3 linked regions of the Ovis aries genome follow. The protein of the gene in region 3 interacts with the protein of the main gene of each other region in a biochemical or structural test. Links are inferred from orthologs where the notes say so. Each region holds a gene or a part of one and is shown on either strand. Other genes may lie near its edges.

Evidence for each region.
Region 1: the proteins of CASP8 (region 3) and DEDD form a complex in vitro, tested with the Homo sapiens proteins (2 studies listed by BioGRID). The link is inferred for Ovis aries from reciprocal best matches to the Homo sapiens genes CASP8 and DEDD.
Region 2: of the proteins of CASP8 (region 3) and BCAP31, one has a biochemical effect on the other in vitro, tested with the Homo sapiens proteins (2 studies listed by BioGRID, with this or other methods). The link is inferred for Ovis aries from reciprocal best matches to the Homo sapiens genes CASP8 and BCAP31.

What each region holds. Positions count from the first base shown.
Region 1 is NC_056054.1:112,572,801-112,580,129, forward strand, and holds the end of DEDD (death effector domain-containing protein), read right to left. Parts: intron 4,519-7,329; 5' UTR 4,455-4,518; coding exon 4,130-4,454; intron 3,930-4,129; coding exon 3,822-3,929; intron 3,528-3,821; coding exon 3,381-3,527; intron 2,643-3,380; coding exon 2,266-2,642; 3' UTR 1,063-2,265; downstream 1-1,062. Other genes in the region: NIT1 (deaminated glutathione amidase), read left to right, coding at 244-369, 635-901. UniProt on the Homo sapiens protein: A scaffold protein that directs CASP3 to certain substrates and facilitates their ordered degradation during apoptosis. May also play a role in mediating CASP3 cleavage of KRT18. Regulates degradation of intermediate filaments during apoptosis.
Region 2 is NC_056080.1:80,541,898-80,549,963, reverse strand, and holds the start of BCAP31 (B-cell receptor-associated protein 31), read right to left. Parts: upstream 4,076-8,066; 5' UTR 3,861-4,075; exon of another isoform or gene 3,762-3,860; intron 3,561-3,761; exon of another isoform or gene 3,317-3,560; intron 3,212-3,316; 5' UTR 3,169-3,211; coding exon 3,077-3,168; intron 1,610-3,076; coding exon 1,509-1,609; intron 1-1,508. Other genes in the region: ABCD1 (ATP-binding cassette sub-family D member 1), read left to right, coding at 4,870-5,784. UniProt on the Homo sapiens protein: Functions as a chaperone protein. Is one of the most abundant endoplasmic reticulum (ER) proteins.
Region 3 is NC_056055.1:203,613,363-203,621,491, reverse strand, and holds the start of CASP8 (caspase-8), read right to left. Parts: upstream 4,426-8,129; 5' UTR 4,230-4,425; exon of another isoform or gene 2,869-4,229; intron 2,389-2,868; exon of another isoform or gene 2,345-2,388; intron 1,938-2,344; exon of another isoform or gene 1,844-1,937; intron 1,782-1,843; exon of another isoform or gene 1,719-1,781; intron 1-1,718. UniProt on the Homo sapiens protein: Thiol protease that plays a key role in programmed cell death by acting as a molecular switch for apoptosis, necroptosis and pyroptosis, and is required to prevent tissue damage during embryonic development and adulthood.

The sequences.
Region 1 (7,329 bases), on a different chromosome or scaffold from region 3:
CATAGATGGCAGCCCACCAGGCTCCCCCGTCCCTGGGATTCTCCAGGCAAGAGCACTGGAGTGGGTTGCCATTTCTTTCTCCAATGCATGAAAGTGAAAAGTGCAACTGAAGTCGCTCAGTCGTGCCTGACTCCTAGCGACCCCATGGACTGCAGCCTACCAGGCTCCTCCGTCCATGGGATTTTCCAGGCAAGAGTACTGGAGTGGGGCGAGGGGGGCTAAATAGGTTGTTTTTCATTCCAGATTGGTCTAGCTATCTGCTATGACATGCGGTTCCCTGAACTCTCTCTGGCATTGGTTCAGGCAGGAGCAGAAATACTTACCTACCCTTCGGCTTTTGGATCTGTTACAGGCCCAGCCCATTGGGAGGTAAGAGAATACTTCTTCAGAACGTAAGGGCCTTTCTTACTTCATTCTCCTTCCTTGGTTCTACCAGCTAAAAGGTTTTCTTTCTCCTTCCCACCTAATGAGAAAATTCATTTCCCCAGATTGTTGCCTCTGAGAGTAGTAAATCATTCACAGGCAATTATCAGGATGGTCACAATGGGTAGATTGGGCTGTAATGTCCATGGCTATCACTTCCCTACCAGCTGCTACATGTACTTGAGTGAACAGCCATCTCCTCCATCCCTAGGTGTTGTTGCGGGCCCGTGCCATTGAAACCCAGTGCTACGTAGTGGCGGCAGCACAGTGTGGACGCCACCATGAGAAGAGAGCAAGTTATGGACATAGCATGGTGGTAGATCCCTGGGGAACAGTGGTGGCCCGCTGCTCCGAAGGACCAGGCCTTTGCCTTGCCCGAATTGACCTCAACTATCTGCAGCAGTTACGCAAACAACTGCCTGTGTTCCAGCACCGCAGGCCTGACCTCTATGGCAATCTGGGTCACCCACTGTCTTAAGACTTTTGATTTCTGTCCACTGAGACCTCCATCGTGAGCTGGTGGCGTTGTGACTTGCAGGCAGGACCCAGGCGCAGCTCCCCTCACTTGGAGAACCTTGTCTCTTAATGGAACACAGGCTCAGCTTCTTGGAAAAGAAGAAACTTTCACCTGAGCTCAGATTTCAGTTTCAGAAAGGTGGAATTTAATATAGTCACTGTTTATTTCATGAAAACTGAAGTTATGCTGAGGGCTGAGCAGCACTGGCATTGAAAAATATATATATAATCATCATAAAGTCTGTGTCTGAATATCTCTTTTGGGAACTGAAAGGGGAGGTGGTATTGTACCAGCTGGACTAGGCTCCAGTTCTAGGCCTCCTGGCTTATTCAACATGCCTCCCTACCTAAAGAAAAGTGCAACACTCAGTGCATGTCCCAGCCCCATGCTCCCAAGCTTGGGAGTGGGAGGGTAGAGGATGGGGAAAGAAAAAGAAGAAAGGCATTGCTACCGCATCACTTCATTCTCACCTATGATGGCCTTTGCCCAAGCCAGAAGAAAGCAAAAGGGGAAAGGGCTGCAGGGTACATTATTTATTTTCACTTGAACATGGAAAGAAAGTGTCACACTCCCCCTTCCCCTTTCCAGGGGGAGTGTATTTTAACCAGCAACCGCTTCTCCATCCACCCTGTGTGTGTGTGTGGGTACAGACACACCACAGTTGGGACTGACTAGGCTGACCTAGTCCTCTTACCTATTATTCCTTTGAAGAGGGTTTGACAGAGAGGGAAAAGGAAGGAGCCACACCAGGCAGAGGTTTCAAGCCATGGAATGGAGGAAACAAGGCAGAGAGGAGCAGCACCAGAGGCCAGGAGAGAGTGGAAAGGGCCACAGCTTCTTTTTTAAAAATTCTATAATTTGGGAGAGGGTGGTGATTAATTTCCAAAATACAGTTCAGAGTCCCACCTTCCACACAGCTCCCTACTGACAGCCCTTTGGTTTTTCAGACAAAGTTTAAGAGCCCTCATAAAGCCAGAAGTACTGATAACCCCTCAATGCACCCAAAAGCAGTGATCACTTCAATCCCTTACAAAGACTATAACCTATAGACTTTGCTTCTCCCTACACATTTGTCTTACGGCTCAGTGGCAAGGTGACTGTAGAGACACACATGTGGGGGTAAGTGGAAAAGGGGAACAAAGGGAAGCCAGGCACATGGGTGCAGGGAGGGGTGGGGGACACCACTTCCATTTTTGTCTTTTCCTTTAAAAAAAAAAAGGCAGGGGTGTGATCGGTTGGAAGGGTAGAGAACAAACCCCAGAACAGTATGTAAGCTCCAGAGGTGGGTGGTGAGAAGTCCCCAGAGAAGTGAGAAGGGGAAAAGGTCAGGGCAATGCTTGCAGCATCAAGTTCCTCAGGAGTTTCTGTCGGCCCAGCTCATAGTCCTCCTCGTCCACGTTCACCAGCAGCTTGATGGCTTCATGGCCCACAGCCTGCTTGAGGGAGTCTGTGATAAAGACACCTTTAAGTGCCTCTAGTAACGAGCCGTTGATGTAGTCGCGCCAGAATGCATCGAGGTAGGTGAGCTCAGAGAACTTGATGTCACAGATGATGGAGCCCAGGTCCCGGGACTTGAGGATGGTGTTGGCCTGGTTAAAGCGCTCAAACTGGCGCTCGAGTGGGTCCTGCTTGTTGGAGAAGACGTTGCCCTGCAGAGCGCTCTCGTGCTGGCAGTACTCAGCCCGGACCCGCAGCCTGATGTCTGTGGGGAAAGACGACGCACAGGAGAGACTGCGTGAGAGCTGAGCTTACGCCCAGGTTCTGAAAAGTTGAGAAGGATGGCAGAGGAACACAGCTGGGAACAGCACCTGACAGCTTCTCTACCTCTTCCCAGGACTCGCTCTTTTCTATGAAGCTCTGAAATCCTTGCCTCAATTCAAGAGGTTCCCTTAAATGGGACATGCCCAGGTCAGATAATTTCCATCACTCCCAACTAGCACCTTGATTCTAAGAGATATTTTCCTAATTAACAGAAGTTCACTTTAATATTCTATCATGACTTGAGTCATACTACAATAAGGATGTCATAACAGCATCCCTTTCATCTAGTTATTACTTAGAGTTGCCACAAAGAGTTACTCTGCCACAAAGACAGAGTTCTCCACCCAGAGACTGTAACATTCAACCTCACTGTGCAACAGCAATCAAAGTGAGCCTCGCTCTAAATAGCGTAAGCTGCCCATGTTCTGAGGCTTCCCAGGTGGCGCTGGGGGGAAAGAACCCACCTGCCACTGCAGGAGACACTAAGAGACAGGGATTGGGAAGATCCCCTGGAGAAGGAAATGGCAACCCACTCCAGTATTCTTGCCTGGAGAATCCCATGGACAGAGGAGCTTGCAAGGAGTCAGACGCGACTAAAGCAACTCAACATGCCCAGTATTCCAGCAGTTCTATTTCCCCTCCAGTGTACTCCACCTCTAGAACCCCTGAACTTCCTCACCGCATGTCTGCTTTTCCTTGGGATCTGGTGTCACTGACTTCCGGCGTTTCCGCTGGCTCCCAAGTGTGGCTCTCCCTCGAGCTGGCCGCTTGCTACACATCTGAGGGCCCGAAGTAGGGCAGCACACCACAGGATAGTGGGGAGGCACTGACCAGAGGGAAAAAGGGAGGCACAGCAGGGGAAAAGCAGAAATGGAGGCAATTCACTTGGAATGTGGAGGAATCATTCAGACTCAGCACTACAGCAATATCAATAATGGGACTTGAAAGGTAGACACAATATGGGGACCATTATAGGACCTAGATGAAGCATTAACACCTCATCTGATTGGGAAGGAGGGGCAGATACGGGAGGGACAGTGTCCTTTCATTTAGGCTGGCAAAAGATGGGTCCAGCGTCCTCTTTCTCGATTATGGAAATTAGGGAGAGTTAACATCTCACCTGTTTTAGGGGGGTGGGGAGGCCTCGGTTCTGGGTCGCTGAGGGCTCTGGGTGTCACATAGCGAACTGATGTCTCCTCCAGGTATTTGTCTACAAGATCAGGGCACACTGTAGGGGGAGAGGGACTCACTCAGGAAAAGATACACCCTTCCCTTCTCCTGGTCCAATCCTCCAATGCACCTCAAAAGGTTCTTCTCAGGACTTGCCAGAGTCAGTGCCTGCTTCTGCCTGGATGCCTGTGCTGCTGACTCAGGGCTGCCCACAGCTCTCCCCTGACCCCAGGGTCCCAGCCCCAAGTGCACCCTCACCAGCCCGTCTCCGCTTGAGAGTGACGTAGGGCAGCAGGTCATGGCGAGTGATGATGCGCAGCAGCTGCAGCACCTGGCGGAAGTTACTCTCATCACAGCGGCCCTGGCGCTCCAGCGCCAGTAGGAAGTCACGTCCATTTCGGATGAGGCCACGCTCGTGGTCATCAATGACGTCAACAAAGAGAAAGGAAAGAACGCGCACGTCTCTGTGTGTCAGGTGAGTGCCCACGATGTCAAACATGCGGTGCAGGCTGTACAGCCCGTGCTCCTGCTCACCGTGCTCTTCGGGCCACACCTGGCTTGCCCTCCGCTTTAGGCCCGCCATGCTGGGGGCTCAGGTACACACTGCTTTCCAGAATCCCTGCTCAGCAGCTGCAATCCCCACTATACTGTAAGGACAAGGAAAGAACCTGTGAACCACTCAATGTTAGGAACTAGTCTTAGCCGATCCTATATTCTCAGAGCCTAACACAATGCCTGGCGCTGTGTAGCGCTTAATAAGCATTTATTAACTTTTACAAAGTTGTTGATTTTTTTGGCTCACTGTGCAGCACATGGGATCTTACTTCCCTTGATCAGGGATCGAACCCGCATCCCTTGCATTGGAAGCATGGACCCTTAACCACTGGACTGCGAGGGAAGTGCCTATAAAATATTTATTAAAAAATAAAGCATAGAGCTCTCTATATTCAGCAGATGCTGCCCTAAGTCCAGATCTTACTAGAGAAAGATAGTCACATCCGCTAAGGAAGACTCACTAATTTGCAAGTTTAGTGCTACATATTCAGCAGACATTGTCCTGATTTTTCCTCTGGCCTCCAAAATACTGCTTTTGGTCCTGTGTGCTCAACCTGACAACGTCCCCAATCAATTCATCCCTTAAATGAAAGCAAAGTGAAGAGAAGTAGAAAATTCACTCTAAATTCTAACACAGAAGCTTTTTCAGATAAACTTAGGGGCTGACAGCAGGGAAACAAAGTCTGAACTAGTTTTAATTCTGCCCATATTGTCAACAAACTGTAGCTACGTGACCTTAAGTAAGTCACTTAACTTGAAAGCCTCAGTGTCCCCATCTTCAAAACAAGGAGGAAAAAAACTACTCCTCGGAGTTATTAAGAATCCAGTGAGAAAATGCACATGAAATCACCGTAAGACTTTTCTAACTGGTTAGGAGATTTCAAAGAGACAAGCATCCTTGGCCTCTACAGCCCAGACTCATTCCTCCACAGACCTATCCTCATTTCTCCTCCAACAAACCAAGTCCAGGAGAATCACTGCTGAGAAAGTTACTCAAATATCCACTGAAACTCATGGATTTAAATCGACAAACGTCACTAAGCTCCTACACTGAGCATTCTAGGAGTTCTCCTGCGCCACCTGTGCTCTCTGATGGTCACACACCATTTGGATCTATGCCGCTTTCTAACCTTTCCTCACGGTTGTCGTTTACCAATCCTCTATCAATGACCAAGCACAGTCCTACGTTTATTATGTGTTTTGGCATTTGATTCACAAATTTCCTCCATCATTGTGGGTAATGTCAGTGACCCAGCTAATAACCAATCCTCAAATCAAACAGCTTTCATCTCCTCTCCAGCCACTCATACTTACTATGCTACCAAGTACCACCCAATACTACTACACCCTCTGACCACAACCTCCAATCACCCAAACAAGTATAAATTCCTGTTGATACTACTTTCTATTTCTTAAATTTGCCTCACCTTTCCACCCCCTACTACCACCACGCTGGCTCAGGTCCCAATAATCTCTCACCTGGATTACTGCAGAAGCCTCTTCAAGGCTCTCCTTACAACCAATCTTAACCTGTCTAAACCCATCCCCTACATCCAGCTGAATTATCTAAAATGCACAACTGACCACATCACTTTTCATCTTAACACCTCTCCACAATTCTCTCCTTGAGTTTCCCAGGCAGTGCTAGTGGTAAAGAACCCACCTGCCAATGCAGGAGACATAAGAGACGTGGGTTTGCTCTCTGGATCAGGAAGATCCCCTGGAGGAGGGCACAGCAACCCACTCCAGTATTCTTGCCTGGAGAATCCCATGGACAGAGGAGCCTGGTGGGCTACAGTCCACAGGGTTACAAAGAGTCAGACATGACTGAAGTGAATTCGCATGCACAATCCTCTCCTTACCAATAAGAACACTCCAGATTCCTTACCCAACACACCAAACCATCCAAGATCAGGCCTTTGTCACTTTTTATTTCTCTAACATTAATCATTTGTCTACAGTTCACAAACATCACACAATTCACTTCTCTATAACTATCTTTAGACTATTCTCTTTGCCCGAATGGCCCCTCCCTTCTTTTCCATATGCCCCATTACACCTTTTTTCAGATGGCTAACTCCTACTCATCCTTTAAGAATCAGTTCAGGGACTTCCCTGGTGGTCCCATGGTTAAGAATCTGCCTTCCAAAGCTGGGGACACAGGTTCAATCCCTGGTGGAGAACCAAGATCCCACATGCCACAGGGCAAGTAAGCCCATGTGCCGCAACAGAGGATCCTGTGTGCCTCAGCTAAGACCCCATGCAGCCAAAAGTGAAATAAATACTAAAAAAATACTAATAAATAAATAGTAAAAAAAAAAAAAAATCAGTCCAGATGCTATCTTCAAATTCATTCTCCACACCCCTTCTTAGGTTTAAGTAGTCCTCTTCTGTGCTCTTATGGAACACTGTACATATATTTCCCTTAAACCATTTATCAGAGAGTACTAAAATTACCTGTACACCTATCATATCTTAAGCAACTCAATAGAGGGACTAGGTCATATTCATCTTTATATCTATAGTACCGAGCAACAGACGGGGGTTGGCATATACTAGGAGCAACCTGCTGTTGAACTGAACTGAACCTTCAAGAGACCACCACAAGCAATACCAATTAAGAATAAACTCACATAAGTCCAAGAGTGAGAGGACCCCATTAAGAGTACATGCAGCTCAGGTAACATGCATATTCTCTAGTGTTCCCCATACTGTAAAACTACCCCTACCATAGCAACCTACTCAACAACAATACAGGCTGTTCTGTCCATTTTATACTGCAAGAAACTGAGGCTATGTTAAAAGGAAGAATCAAATGATAAACTACTTCAGAAGAGTCAAGCAACTGGGGACTCAAAAAACTGAAGAGCAAATAGGACCTGATCTTCTCTTTTAATCCTGAA
Region 2 (8,066 bases), on a different chromosome or scaffold from region 3:
CAGCATACACACATGTGGGTTCCTGACCCCCAAAATTCCCATTTGGGCACCTTAACTCTCAACCAGATGATACTAGGAAGTAGGGCCTTTGGAAGATGAGCACAAAGCCCTCATGAGTGGGTTTAGTGCCGTTATAAAATAGACTCCAGAGGGCTCCCTTGTCCCTTCCTCCATGTGAGGACACGGCCAACACAGAAAATGACTGTGGAAACATAACACAGACTGTTAAAATAGTTACCTGTGAGACATGGGTTTATGGGAACCTTTAACTTTGTAAGTTAAATTCACAAATTTCTAAAGCTGTGCTATTTTTGTGATTTAAACAAAAAACATGTTTTCCCACACTGTCTTCTGCAGCCAGAGACCCCAGCACCTCAAGGTCCACCTTGACTAATGGCAAAGAGCCAACCAGGGATCGGGGCATTGGGCCAAACTAGCTCAAGTCATACAGCAGAGGGCTACCCTCTCTATCTCAGGCCTCCAGCCCACGGCAGTTGACCCTGAACTCTCATTAAGCCCACTCCCCCAGTGAGATGTGCCCTAGATCCCTTCCCAGGGATGGCTAGGGGCCAGCCAGGGCTGCAGCTTCTAGCTAGTTATGCTATGTCGCTAGCATTTGCTACTAGCTAACAACTTACTCTGACTCATTGGAAAAGACACTGATGCTGGGAGGGACTGGGGGCAGGAGGAGAAGGGGATGACAGAGGATGAGATGGCTGGATGGCATCACCGACTCAATGGACATGAGTTTGAGTAAACTCCGGGAGTTGGTGATGGACAGGGAGGCCTGGTGTGCTGCGATTCATGTCGCAAAGAGTCGGACACGACTGAGTGACTGAACTGAACAACTTATTTAGGCAGACCTCTACAGATTACATTAGGATACGAAGCAGCCTTTTATCATAGCAGGATGTCGCTCTAGAACATCCAGGCAGTTCCCTGACTCCTCAAAAAGAAAAACGGCACTTTTGCCAACTACCACCTTCTGCAAAGGGCCTCTCCCACCCAATCTGCCATACCAGGAGAATTCGTGGAATCTGGTGTGCAGAAGGGCAAAGCTCTAAGTGAACACCCCCCAGCATGGTCCCTCCCCACCCCAACTCTTACCCCCAGCCCACACCTAAAAGCAAAAGCACACACACCCAGTTCATAAACCCTGCAGCCTACTGAGACCAAGGTCAGGACAGGTCCATTAGCCTCTCTTGGTTTCAGCTCTGGAAGGACCCAAGGAGCTGCCTGAGACACAAGATGGTCAGCACCAGGGGCATAAAGGCTGCTGGTCAAAGCAAAGACCCTGCCAGCAGTCAGTAGCAGGGATGCTGACGTCTTTGTGGATGAAGGGAGCTTTTCTTCCCCCAAGAGAAAGACAGGCGCACTAAATGGTCTGTCTCTGAGAAGTCAAAGCTGTACTCTAATCATGGAACATGGCACATGGCACAGGGCTTTGTAGCAGAGGCCATGGCAAAAGGTCTAAGTCAGATAGCTACCATCAGCCACAACTCACTCACCAATGACCAGTAGCACAAGGATGACAATGAGAACCACAAAGAAGGTGTTGCCATATGTCACTACCAACTCCACAAGGCGGGACTTGAAAATCTTCTGCCATCTGTGAAAAAGACAAAAAGGCTAAGGTCAGTAGAGTAAGAACACACACCTGGGATCCAGGGCCCTGAAAACAGATACAGTTTTGCACTCTTCTTCAAAGACTGAATATCTCATACAGATTCAGCCTCAGCTGCTTGCAATTTTCCAACTTATGACATCTGTTCAACAGTGTTAAAAAGAAAAAAAAAAAGACACCTGTCCAAGTATAGAAATTTCTAGAAAAAGTCTTAAACACTGGTAGGCTCTGGGGAGAGAAATGCGAAACTTAGCGTCCCCTCTGTAGTATCAAAATGCTTGCCAAATCCACATTATTTCTTTAAACTGTTTTCCCATGTGCCCAATCTTGGCTCATCTAGACTCCCACCACCCCCGATTACCATGAAGCAGACCCCAGACCTCCCTACCTTTCCCTCCATAAATACTTCAGCATACAGCTCCGTCAAAGAAGACCCTTCAGAAATGGCTACCAATCGCAATGCCACCGTCAAGCCTCAAAAATATCAAGAAAAATCTCTCATCATCAGAGCCAGAACTCCAAAGTCCAACTGAGGCAATTATTTTTAACAATTGGTCTGTTTGAATCCTGACAAGGTTCTGATTTTGCATTCTGTTAATAAGTACCTTCAGTTCAGTCGCTCAGTCGTGTCCGACTCTTTGCGACCCCATGAATCACAGCACACCAGGCCTTATTCTACGAACTCCCCCCTCCCTTGCTCTCTGATTTCTCCCCTAATTCACTGTTGCAGAAACCAGGCTGTTTGTCCTGCAAAGCTTTCCATGTAGCAGCTCCAAGTGGGCCACTGTCTCTGCATTTCCTGTGAACTGTATGAGGTGATTCAGATCTAGCTTTTGTAAAGAACATTCCTTAAGCAGTGCTGTACACTTTCTATCACAACAGCAGCCTGTGATTTTTCATTAAAAAGAAGCTTCTATGAAAACATCTGTAAGTCTTATTTGTAATGTTCTAACTTAAGATCAGATGTGTTCCTATAGTATATGTAATCAAGATGAATTTCAAAATAACTTTTCAGAAGTCCTCTGTTCACTGAAAAGAAACATGGCTTCGGCCTTCCTAGGCTGAGTAATGCTCATGAGGCCACTTCGCAACCCCAGCGAGACTGGTTAGGAGGACAGAAGTCACCAAATCAACGGTAACATGACCCAGAGGCAAGTCTTGCAGATCTCACAATGCCATCTCCTAAACACCCGGAGGGCATCGTTTCCAGAATGGTCACTTGGTCTTGTCCCCTCTGGCACACTCTGAAGACCAGAAGACAGGGTGCAGGGGAAAGGACCTAGTCAAGATGTGACTGAGCACAACTGTGGGCCTAGCTGGCGATAATAAACACAGTCCTTGCCACCCCCATCCCAGACAGGTTCTACCTGTTTCCGGCTGGCTTCAACTCTAAGGCCCCCCAACTCTGCAGGCACAAGCTACCGAGACTCTTCCTGGCTTGCCTGCCCATACCTTTTGGGAGAAATGAAGGGAATGCAGAGCAGCAGCACAGCGAAGACCTCTGCATAGAGGAAGGTGGCGACTGCGGTCCACTGCAGACTCATCGTGTTGCTAGCAGCTTTCCACCGGGATGATGTGAGCCTGTTCCTGATGGAGCACAGAACAAACAGGCGTCGTGACAGCTCGGCAGCCACCAGCCCTAGACCTCAGAGCATTCCCAGCCCTCGAGCCCCGCAGCCTGGCTGCCAATACCTCCAGAGACACTTTTCCAAACAATTCCTCCCCGTGGAGTCCGGGAGACTCCGCCTGCGGAACCCTGGCAGCAGTGGGTGGGAATCGGCAGTTCAAGCTACCGCCCACCACACCGCAGCCTCGGTCCTAGTAATGCCTTTGCGCTTCCTCCCAACCTGCGATGCCTCTGGGCCCTTCCACCCGGGCCGACAGAGGAGTAGCGAGCAGCTCCTCCCAGGGCAGGAGCGGAACGCAAAAGCCTCCCAACCACCGCCCCTTCGGCTCAGCTTTCAGTATCTCCGAGAGCCCCCGAGAGCGACTCCTAGAGGACGAGAGTTGGAGCCAAGGGCAAGAGCGGGTCTCAACCCAGCACCTCACGGCCCCGTCCAGAGAAAGTTCTAGAAGACTGTCTCCTCCAAAGCCGGAGAAACCCCTCCCGGCCTCCCAGGTCGGTCGCGGCGCCTACCCGGCTCCAGAAGACCCCTCGACGAGGCCCCGACCCGGCACGCCCTCTCAAGCCCCACCCCGCCGGCTCCTCCGGAGGGACTTCGACGTCGCCCCCTACCCTGGAGATGGCTCCACCCGCCGCCAGCCTGACTTCCCTCCGCCCGGTCCCGCCCCCGCACTCTAGCCTCGGCCCTGGCCCCGCGCACCGGGCCTCCCCGCGCCCCCTCGTCGAGGAGCCGGGGGACCTCGGCGGCCCGGAAGCCCAGCGCGGCGCGCGAGTCCGCTCACCGAGTTCTCCAGAGTCACCACGCACGCCCAGTCGTCGCCAAACTCTCCCACCACCAGCCCGGCCCCGCCCCTTCCCCGCGGCCGGAACCGGAAGCGCCCGGCCAGTCCCGGCCCGCCCCCAACCGCCACAAGGCCCCGGAGGCCCCGCCCCCGAACCGAGGCTCCCGACGTCTGGGACTGGGGAAGGAGCCACGCCTCGCGCGCGCGCGCGGAGAGACGGGTCCCCGGCCTTGGCGGGAAGGCGAGGTGCCGCTTCTCTAGCCCGCGCGGTCCTCCGGCGTCTCTGTGGTCCGGGGAGGGGGCGGGGCCCCACCGTGGGGCGAGAACGGGGTGGGGCGGCCCGTGCCTGGGCTCCGCCTCCCGCCCCTCCTCCGCCTCCTCCCCCTCCCCCGACTCGCCCCTGGGGAGGGGTGGGTGGGTAGGTGGGGATTCTGGGCGGGTGGCGGAGTCACAGTCGCTTCAGCCGGGCTGTGGAGCGGACGGACGCGGCCGGTATCCCAGGGAGGGGCGCTACCAGGGGAGGAGGAGTAGGAGGTGGAGAGAAAAAGACGCCCTCGGCCGGAGACCTCTAGAGGCTCTGACCCCAAGGGCCAAGGGACTGACAAGTTCCTCCACTTCGGCCGCCTGAAGAGGCCGTGACCCTGGAGGGCCCTGAGCCCACCCGCGCCAGGGGCCCCAGCGCCACCCGGGTGGCCTAAAGCGACAGTCTCAGGGACCACTGCGAGGTCTCCAGTTGCCTAGACAACGAGCCCGGGGTCAGAGCCACCACCCTTGCAGCCACCTGCCTCCTCTGCCGCCTCAGGCACCCGTCCCGGTCCCGTGAGTCCAGCCCAGGTGACATGACGGTGCTCTCTACCCCCAGAGCCTCGCGGGTGACCACGCTGAAGCGTACTGCCGTGGTCCTGGCCCTCATGGCCTATGGAGCCCACAAACTCTACCCTCTGGTGCGCCAGTGCCTGGCTCCGGCCAGGGGCCCTCAAGCGCCGGCGGTGGATGGGGAGCCCGCACCAGACGTCTCCGGTGCCCCCGTGGCCTCAGCGGCCAAGGCCGGTGTCAACCAGGTGTTCTTGCAGCGGCTCCTATGGCTCCTGCGGCTGCTATTCCCCAGGATCCTGTGCCGGGAGACGGGGCTGCTGGCGCTGCACTCGGCCGCCCTGGTGAGCCGGACTTTCCTGTCGGTGTACGTAGCCCGCCTGGACGGCCGGCTGGCCCGCTGCATCGTGCGCAAGGACCCTCAGGCCTTCAGCTGGCAGCTCGTGCAGTGGCTGCTCATCGCACTGCCTGCCACCTTCATCAACAGTGCCATCCGCTACCTGGAGGGCCAGTTGGCCCTGGCATTCCGCAGCCGGCTGGTGGCCCATGCCTACAGTCTCTACTTCTCCCAGCAGACCTACTACCGGGTCAGCAACATGGACGGGCGGCTTCGCAACCCAGACCAGTCCCTGACGGAGGACGTGGTGGCCTTCGCTGCCTCCGTGGCCCACCTCTACTCCAACCTGACCAAGCCGCTCCTGGACGTGGCTGTGACCACCTACACCCTGGTTCGAGCAGCCCGCTCCCGCGGGGCTGGCACAGCCTGGCCCTCGGCCATCGCTGGCCTCGTGGTCTTCCTCACGGCCAATGTGCTGCGAGCCTTCTCGCCCAAGTTCGGGGAGCTGGTGGCTGAGGAGGCGCGGCGCAAGGGAGAGCTGCGCTACATGCACTCCCGAGTGGTGGCCAACTCAGAGGAGATTGCCTTCTACGGGGGCCATGAGGTGGGGCTGCTCCTGGGGCCGGAAAGCGCGTGGCTGGGGGAGTCCGGGGCAGGAAGGCCTGGGGCTGCCTATGGCTGATGGCACAGGTGTGGGCTGGCCATGGGAGAGGGAGGCTGTGGACGACCAGGGCCGTGGGCAGCCCGGATCGGCACAGAAATGGAGAAGCAGGAAGGCTGGGTGGAGACTGTCCTGGGTCACTTCTGCTTCCTCTCCACCTCCCTTGTCCTGGCCTTAGGGCTGTGGACCCTAGTGATGGGAGACCCAAGAGCTCCCAGCCTGCCCCCTGCCTGCAGCCAACAGAGAAGGGGCTCCTGCCATCTGGGGGCAGGGATGACAGGATGCAGCCTGCTGTCTGGCCCCCTCCTATTCCCCCAGGCCCTTTGAAGCCCGGCGTCCGGCCGGGCAAGTGGGCATTATGGGCATGACTCAGCCCAAGCGGAGGTTAACAAGCAGCAGTGCTCGGTGTGTCGATCGGATCTCAGCGCTCCAGATCAAGCTTCTCCCCCCTCCGGAGCCCAAAGGCTGGCCTGGCTGCGGGCTTGGCTGCCTCCCCGAGGCCCCAGCCAGGGGTGCCGGGGCCCAAGCCGCCACTGCAGCAGGACGCACTTCCTGCCCTCCCAGCGGCCACCTTGCCCCCAGTGTGGCCGCCCTTCCGCCCAGGTCCCAGCCGTGCAGCTCCCCAGCAGGCTGGGTCAGCGGCCAGCCGGCTAGGGCCAGGAGCCGGGGCCTGGGAGAGGTTACTCCAGGCCAGTGCTCCGGCCCCTCCCCTCCTCCTGCCTGGGTTGCAGCTGCCTCCGGCTAGGTTCTCTGCGACTCTGGTTTCGGTTCCCCAGTGCTTCTGGGGGAGGGGTACAATGGCATCCAGCTCCTGAAGGCCCATGGATCCTCCCTAGGTCAGATGGCCTTGTGTCCTCGACCTTGTCTCATTGGCAGCCCATCTTATCAGGCAGGGAGGCAGGCTTGTCCCTGATTTTTTTTTTTTTTTAAGACTTATCCCTGAGCAGATAGGGGCATTCCCGGCTGGGCTCCAGATAAGGAGAAAAAGGGCCGGATCTGCAGCCGCAACCCCCGTCCTCCTCCCCTGTGCTCCAGGGACGCAGGGTCTTGGCAGGCAGCCGTGGCCCTGGGTGAGGCACTTGGCACATTCCCCGCAGCTACATTGTCAGCCCCAGCTGGCACTCTTGCCAGCTCCCAGCACGAGCCTGGATCGCCAGGGCGCTCAGAGTAGACGTGCTCACTTCAGGAACGGCAGAGCGATGCCCAAGACCTAGCTGGGGACAGGGGAGGTGGGAAGAAGGGAGAATCACTAGCTCTTTGAAGGATTTCCTCTGGGTTAGTTTCAGGAAATAGCATGTACTTGGGGCAGATTCACCAGCTGGGGTGGGAGGGGCCTGATGTACGTCCCCAACCTGTCTGTCAAGGCCTCGGGCAAAGGGCTGTGTGATGTGATGGGCCTTCATGGGTGGCTTGATTGCCCTCACTGTGCGGGCACGTGGCTCAGCCCAGTCCCATTGGCTGATGTCCCCATGGACACTGGCCCAGGCTCAGATCAGCAGGCTGGGGCAGAGGTAGCTGGCTGACTGGAGGGCAGACCGCCGAGTATTTTGCTATTCCTGGGATGTCAAGGAGAAGGGTTATTGCTGCTGCTGCTGCTGCTAAGTCACTTCAGTTGTATTCGACTCTGTGCGATCCCATAGATGGCAGCCTACCAGGCTCCTCTGTCCCTGGGATTCTCCAGGCAAGAATACTGGAGTGGGTTGCCATTTCCTTCTCCAGTGCATGAAAGTGAAAAGTGAAATGAAGTTACTCAGTCGTGTCCAACTCTTGGCGACCCCATGGACTGTAGGTAGGCTCCTCAATCCATGGGATTTTCCAGGCAGGCATACTGGAGTGGGTTGCCATTTCCTTCTCCACAGAAGGGTTATTACACGGGCTCATACCAACACATCCAACCTCTTATTAGCCTGAGCACGGGTAGACTTTCTTAATAAGTCAAAGCATCGTTCACAAGAATTGGCTTTGTTTAATGGCTCAGCCTACCTGGTCCAAATGCCATATGTCTTGCCACCTCCAGGCTGTGTGAACTGGAGCAGGTCACTTTGCCTGTCTGGGCTACCACAGACAGGAGAATACACATACAATGGGACGTGGTGAGAATCAAGTCAAGAGTCAGCTATAACATGGTGAATTGGCAAAGGAAACTATTCCAGGCTGGGCAGCTCTTGTCCGTTGGGTAGGGAGACAGGATCAGAGCAGGCGCCCCTACCAAGCCATCCAGGACC
Region 3 (8,129 bases):
TATCTAAGCAATAAGCCCACATACATATATTTGTATTATATGATATGTAACTATATCTATTATTTTTATAATGTGTGCCCCAAAGTATTTTTATATAGCCAAATATTTGTATTATGATATGTAAATGTTTATAACATATAACGATATAAACATAAAAATATTTTTCTTGTCTCATTTACTGCAATCCTCTCTAGAAATTGCTATTATCGTCTTCACTTTATTACCATGAAAAATCAGTTCAGAAATAAACTAGTGAGAGGTATCAGGCCCAGATTAGAGCATCTCAAGAGGCTTAGTGACAGACCCTGCAAAGATTTAGATTTTATTCTAATTGCAGTTGGAAGCCAGTGAAGAAATTTAATAAAGACACATAATCAAAATATTTTTAAAGATTATGAATTACTTAAAATTTTAAAAGACTAAGTGAAGTGAAGTGAAAGTCACTCAGTCATGTCTAACTCTTTGTGAACCCATGGACTATACAGTCTTTAGAATTCTTAAAGAAACCCCCCAAAGAAACAACAAACAAAAATTCTTAACAAATCCACTAAAGCAGAGAGAAGATCAGAACCTTACAACCAAGCTGGTATGCGCTGGAGCCTGGATTTAAACCTCAGCACCTCATCCCAGAGTCCCGAATTAGCACTGCCTGTTACACCACAATTAAATTGCAAATAAATCTCATCTAATCACAAACAATCCTTCTAACAATATTCTAGCAGCATCTTAGCTCTCTCAGTCTAATGAAAAACTACCTCAAAGCTGGAGAAAATAAACCCAAAATTTGTATTCCTCTTCTGAGACAAAAATATGTGTCTCATTCACAGCTTAAGAGTACTGGAAAGTTAGTCTCAGGCCTGAAAGCCCTAGGTAATAGGATGGCCATTCCCTCCAGTCCAGGAGGATCACTCCGAATTGGGGTTCCCATTCCGAATCAGGATTCCCACTCCAAATTGGGATTCACCCAGAACCTGCCAGAGACCCACACAAGCACTGTTCACTGCAGGGCCCCAGCCAGCACTATCACACAGCCCAGAAAAGGTATCCACATTCCAGCCAAATTAAAAACCTACCAAACTGAACGAAGGTATAACTTCACCTGTAAATGCTTAATCTCACACTTCCAAACCAATGCTGGAATGAAATTCATAATTCCACCTATGAATGGTTAACTCCACAAATACTGATTATCAATCTATTGCCATTATATTACTCCCTGTACTGTTCTTTACCCTTTTAATCCCCCCACCCCCATCCCGCAAAGATAAATAAATAAACAATTGAGTGTTTAGCACTGTGTGTGTGTGTTTCTATGTGTGTCTGTTTAGGTGTGTGTGTGTTTATGTTGGTGGTCTGTGGGTCGACAGACGGGTAGCTACAGCAGCAAAGTCAGTTGAGATTTGAATTTTGGTTTCTATTCTTCGATAAGTCTGGCTGGCATAAGGGTGAGGCCTCTGTAAAGATGAATATATTTGGAGTATTCCCCCTCTAAAACTCAGGAATGCATCATCTACCAAAGCTGGAGGGGCACGGACATCTGGGATCTCTGAACCCTCACCACGGCCTTCAGAGGCACGGCTAACTCTCCCAGTTTCTTCATCTACACTCAAATACTAGGATTACCCTATGGGCCCTTGAACCTGCCAGATCCCATTCTCAGTAGCCTAGAGAGTTCTAGATTCAAAGGCCTTCCTCTCCAAAGTCCCATCAGATCTTACCAGAGGCGAATCCTGGAACCTTCACAGCAGCAGCCACTTCACGGGCCTCTTCTCTCAGTACATCTAAGACAGGAATTAGAGTCAAATGAAGAACCAACAACGTAGCTCGCTTACTTCCTGTTTTCAAAACTCCTGAGTCACCATAGGCTGAGTGAGGCAGGCCAGCCTCCAGGCAGCACCCGCATCCTCATCTCCAAGAAGGAGCCCGTGGAATAAGAGGTAGGTGCTGGATGGGGACGCTGGCCATCTGAGACTTGCCTCTGGCTATGTGACTTTGGGCAGGTCATTTTCTCTTCGGGGCTTCTGTACCACATTCCAAAAGGAAAAAGGAACTGAATGATAGCTAAGAACCCTTTCTTTTCCTTTTCAGAAATATACAGATTTTTATGGGTTCATTATTAAGACTTCAATGGTTTCCTTCAATAATACTCATTGAGCACTCCTGAGTGGTCTTGAGTTCTGGAACTATGGGCCCTCACTATGGTTCAGAGGGTCTACTGACCCCCACAGAAATTCTCATGGTTTCCCCCACCTACATTCATATACAAGATCTCACCCTCAGCAGTCTAGGTCTAGAAAACTCTAGAATCATATTGTTTCCTCCCAAAAGGCCCAGCCAAACTCACCAAAGGAAAAATAAAATCCCAGGGCCCTCACCATGGACTGGGACCTGGAGATAAAACAGAGAACAAAACTCACTTTAGCCCTGCCTTTTGGCTCTCATCAGTTGTTTTCTGATGATTAAAGTAGAGGAAAAAAAAAAAAAAAAACCTCTCTTCTTTGAAACTACATGTTCTCTTTCCCCAAATGGAGTATTAGCTTTCAGAGGGCAAATTTCACAGCCGAGAGGATTAACAAGATAGCTGAAAATGCCCCTCCACCTGCAGAGAGCTAGGTAAGGGTTCTGTGTTCCTTTTGTGCCCTTAACTTCCCTTGACTCTGCCCTGAGAACTCCGAGTGAGAAGGCAGCCACAGAATGAAAACCTGTTAGTGGCTAAATCCTATCCCAGGAAGTGCCCCCTTGCTCTTTTCTTGCAGCCTCCTAAATACATCCACCCAATATCTGTCCTGCTGTTTTATGGCTGGTTCCTATCCTAGGCTGTGATCTTCACAAAGGCAGGGACCACATCTTTCATGTCCATGTTTCCAGTTTGTGCCACAGGAGTAGAAATACCTCGAATATACAAAGGTCTCCTGCAGATCAACAAGGAAAAGAAACCCTGACGAAAGACAATGGATCTGACTATAGAGTTCCTTGACAGAGATACTCAGATGGCCAAAGTGTGCGAATGATACTCAAATTCATGACTAAGCTGGGGAATACAACGCAGGTATGAGCTACCTACTTTGTACCTATCAGAATGGCAAAGGTTTGCAAGCTGGAGCCAGCCAAGTTCTTGGTGGGCCAGTTCTTCTATAGCCCTTATATAAGTTGTAGAGACTGTCCGTCATGGAATAATAAGCAGCGGTTACAAAGTGGGAGCAGGCAAAACACATAGAACTTAAAGTACAGAGTGCTTACTTGCAAAAAATAAAAAATAAAAAGTCAAAAACAGAACAAGCAAATTACAATATGAATACTAATACATAACATGTAATAATAATTGCTAACACTTACTGGGTACAGAGCAACACCAGTCACTAAGTGGCTAAAGCTGTTATTATCAAATAAATCCTCACAGCTACCTGTTGAGGGAGTGTTAATCCCACTAATGATGAGGAAACAGAGGTACAGAGAAATTATTTTCTTGCTCTGGTCACAGAGTTTAAGACACAGTGTACACACACAAAACAATGGTACATTTCACAAAGATACAGAACAATTAAGGATATGTATCATAAGATGCGGAGGGTTGTCTTTGGGAGCCGGCTTCTCGGGTGGCTCAGTGGAAAAGAATCCAAGTGCCAATGCAGGAAAAGCAGTTTCGATCCCTGGATTGCAAAGATCCCCGGGAGACAGGAGTGGCAACCCATTCCAATATGTTTGCCTGGAAAATCCCATGGGCAGAGAAGCCTGGCGGGTACAGATTCTAGGGTTGCAAAGAGTCAGACATGACTGAGCGACTAGCAAACACACACACTTTGGGAGCCAGCGAGGAGGATAGGAGATAGGTTGGGGAGTGGGGAGATCCAAGAAAATGGATAAAGCAGGGCAGGGTCGGGGGGCCCATGGGTCCCCAAGACCAAGGGTTTATAGGGAATCGGGATCTGATTGAGTGATCAACTCAACCCTCTGCCCCAGGACAAGTGGTATAGAAAATAAACATAAAAAGGTAAATAAAGTCTTCTGGGAAATCTAAAGTAAACCAGCAGGAGACAGTGTACCTATACTCGAGGCAGCAGAGGAACTGGCGCGTCCTCAGATTAAAAAGTAGCAAAGCCAGGGGCTGTGGTTCAGATAGGAACCCACTCAGAACCTGGCACTCTGGCAGGACTGGGAGGTGACTTCCCCGGGAAGTCCTCGAGTGAGAAAGGCGGCATCCAGAAGCCAACTGGGCACCAGGCACTCACCTGCTCCACACAGTCCTGGCAACATCCCAGCCACCAAACTCTCGACGACAAGACCCCACACTGCCTAACTTCACACTTCGTATTACTGAGGCTCGTTCTTAAAACCCAGCTGGAGATAAATCCCTGGAAATGAGGCAAGCGGGAGGGGGAGACAGGAGGTGGGGTTGGAAACGCCTCCAGGAAGAAGTTTACTTTTACTTTCGATGCCTCCACCAGGCTTTTATGCCTGCCCCTGGAAGACTCACTTCCTGGTTCTCTCCTCTCTACGTTCAGAATTTGCTACCAAATTCCGCAGGGCTTTAAAAAATCTTGAGATAAAAGAAAGAGAACCTGTGAAACCATTGCCTTCCAGCAGAAGGGCAAACTCTGGTCTTCAGGAAGAGAGAAAGAAAATTCCTGAAGAGAGAGAACTAGAAAATAAACTTGATTTGGAAAGCTGGAAAACTGAGGTGACTCACTTGAACAGAAAATGTTTCTTATTTAAAGGAACCGAAGCCCAATTTCCCTACATTCAGAAGTGACCACAGACATGCAACTAAACTGCATGTCAACATGCAAACTAAAAACCAGGAAGCTGGACGTGTTTTATTGGAAAGCATTTTACTCACTGCATTTAGTGTTTATCAGCTCTCTAATTTTTAAAGAGACTTGAGACTGCCTGTGGCCAGTAAAATGTCATTCTCGCTTGAAAGGGGTCTGCAGAGAAAAATGCTTCCTCTGTTCTGTGGCCTGAATCTTAGCACTGCAGCCGTGGACAAGCTCCCCAGATCATCTGGCAAGAACTCTTCCTGGGTCCAAACAGATCTCTAGCTGAGTTGTGAGGAAATTCAGCACCAAAAGGGGGTGAGGTCCTGCCCAGCCCTAAGCAGGGGTAACCATCCTTGTCCAGTGCTGAGCCCCTGGTGGGGAGGGGAGTGTTGGGGGGAGGGGACAGTGATGTGAAGACCTCTCCTCTGGGAGTCTGAACCTCCCCAGCTTTTCTTCATCCTCCACCCTCTCCCCACCCTCTGCCTCTGTTAACTGTTTGAATTTTTTAAAGAGTTTTCTGCCTTTTTGTTTTCACATCTTCTAGATTTTAAAACTACGACACCAATAATAATGCAATATCTGTACGTTGCACCTTTACATCAATTATTTCTCATTCTCCCAACAATGTAGAGGATCCCGCATGTCATGGAGGAGGAAGCGGAGGCTCAAATGAATATATGAATTCGAACTCAGTCCAGCTGGATCCAAAACAAGGATTTTTCCACCATAACACACTATTCCCTCCCCCAAAAGTTAGGATTTGAAATGAACCATGTGGATGGAAGAGTGCTAAATTTAAACTCACATGATGACCTATGTGCAGAGGTCAGAAGGTCACCTAAGAAAAAGGAGGCGGCCTACAGGCACCAGCTAACAGCATAAAAATTCTGTGTGTGCCACATGTATAACCACCCAAACTGGTTCATTTCACTTTCTGAGTAATTCGCAGAAGTGGATGCTATTTTTGCTCTCATTTGAGCAAGGAAGCTGAGGTTTGGAGAGGTGAAAGACTTAGACAAATATCTTCAGCTAGTGAGTGGCAGGATGAAGTTTTTGTGCCTCTCTAAAACCCTGAAAGGTTAATCAGTGTCTGAACATTAGTACACACCCATGGCTCTCAACTTGATTGATCTGAGGGTTAACTGATTAGGTTTCTAAATTGCCAGTCTTCAGGCCCCAGCTCTGAAATTGCTATCTGAGCAGAATTACAGGAGATAAAACAGATTGAGCACTTAACGGAATGCCTGGACCTCCCACAGTTCTTGGTAAGTAATCAGTACCACTGTTACATAAGCTCACATCTGTACAATGGCTATGAATTACTAGACATATAGTGCAGTTGAGGAAGCTAAGTTCAGTGTCGATCAACTGACAAACTGCATGGCCAGCACATGATCCCAAGATTGTCGCACTTGAGCGTTTACCCCCGTCCCCCAATCCCTGGCTTGGAGGAAATGGATGAGCCACCACAGGCATCTACGGAGCAGTACTGAAGATGAGTGGGGAGGTTCAGGGCTTCAGCCTGTCATTTGCAAGGCACTGATCCTGTGCTCTCTTAGTCTTAAATCTGTTTTTAAAAGGAAAACCTATAAGGACTTCCCTTGCAGTCCCGTGGATAAGACTTCCTGCTTCGAATGTAGGAGGCACAGCTTTGATCCATGTCAGAGAACTTAAGATCCCACATACCTTGGAACATGGTCAGAAAAACTAAAATAAAATATTTTCTTTAATGAATAAAAGAGGACAAATAATTAACAAGTAAATTGTAACCCTCAAGTTGGTTAAATTCCTTTTGTGATTTACTTGCTCTAACCAGGTTCTTAAAACTCAACATTCAGAAAATTAAGATCATGGCATCTGGTCCCATCACTTCATGGCAAATAGATGGGGAAAGAGTGAGAGACTTTATTTGGGGGGGCTCCAAAATCACTGCAGATGGTGACTGCAGCTGTGAAATTAAAAGACGCTTACTCCTTGGAAGAAAAGCTATGACCAATCTAGATAGCATATTCCAAACCAGAGACATTACTTTGCCAACAAACGTCTGTCTAGTCAGAGCTAAGGCTTTTCCAGTGGTCATGTATGGATGTGAGAGATGGACTATAAAGAAAGCTGAGCGCAGAAGAATTGATGCTTTTGAACTGTGGTGTTGGAGAAGACTCTTGAGAGTCCCTTGGACTGCAAGGAGATCCAATCAGTCCATCCTAAAGGAAATCAGTCCTGAATATTCATTGGAAGGACCGATGCTGAAGCTGAAACTCCAATACTCTGGCCACTTAATGTGAAGAACAGACTCATCGGAAAAGACCCTGATGCTGAGAAAGATTGAAGGTGGGAGAAGGGGACAACAGAGGATGAGATGGTTGGATGGCACCATCGACTCCATGGACATGAGTTTGAGTAAGCTCCAAGAGTTGGTGATGGACAGGGAAGCCTGGTGTGCTGTAGTCCATGGGGTCACAAAGAGTTGGACATGGCTGAGTGACTGAGAGACTGAGCTGAATTCAACCAGTTTTCTTGTTTCCACCTTGAGCTATGTGTCTGCGTGATTTTAACATCAAAATGAACAGTGTACTTGGTTGTTATTCCTGAGGAAGCTGGAAAGGCTGGATGTGTTGCAGTTCAGCATGACATGGCGGAGCTGTTCCCTGCCCAGGACAGGCAGAGGACCGCCTAGTTTGACTTAAAAGCCAAGAGGTTTCCACTTTCCTGAATCACAGCTCCTATTGATGGCCTGCTCCAGAGACTTCTGGCTACTAACCAGCAAAAAACAGACTTGAACCTGAAAGTTTCTGTAAGAAAGCTAGGAATGACTAACCCTCCTGTTCACCAACTGCAGTACACTGATCTGGACTAACCTCAGGACATTAGTCAAGGACAAATACTGACAGTGAAACAAAAATCCCCTGAACAAGCATCTTCTGTGGTCGGTTACTTCTCTATTGAGTTATGTACAACTGATCCACAGGCCAGGTGGCTGCAGGCCAGGTAGTCTGCTGTGTGGATTCAACAGGGCCCCTCCTGCCCCTTTCTCAAGTTGGCCTTGGCTCTGGCCCTAGAGTCTTGAAGAGAGTGGTGGAGGGAAAAAAAGATTGCATTCCAAGCCAGCTGTTTCACCTCCTCCAGGCCGTGCAGGGAAAGACTCAGCCAATTCTCTAATAAAAGTTTTTAATGGCTGGGGTTTTATTAATAAGTTTTCGATTTTCGTTTTGGTACTGAAATGACTAGACAGTCATGAGCAGGTAGAAGAGTTTACATCAACTGGCCCTGAAGTGTCTATTGCAAAATTTACTGAGTGATGGTATTTGCCCCCTCTACTTCCACAAAGGTAACTACTGCAAACCGGAACCCATCCCACTGATCTAGAAAGGA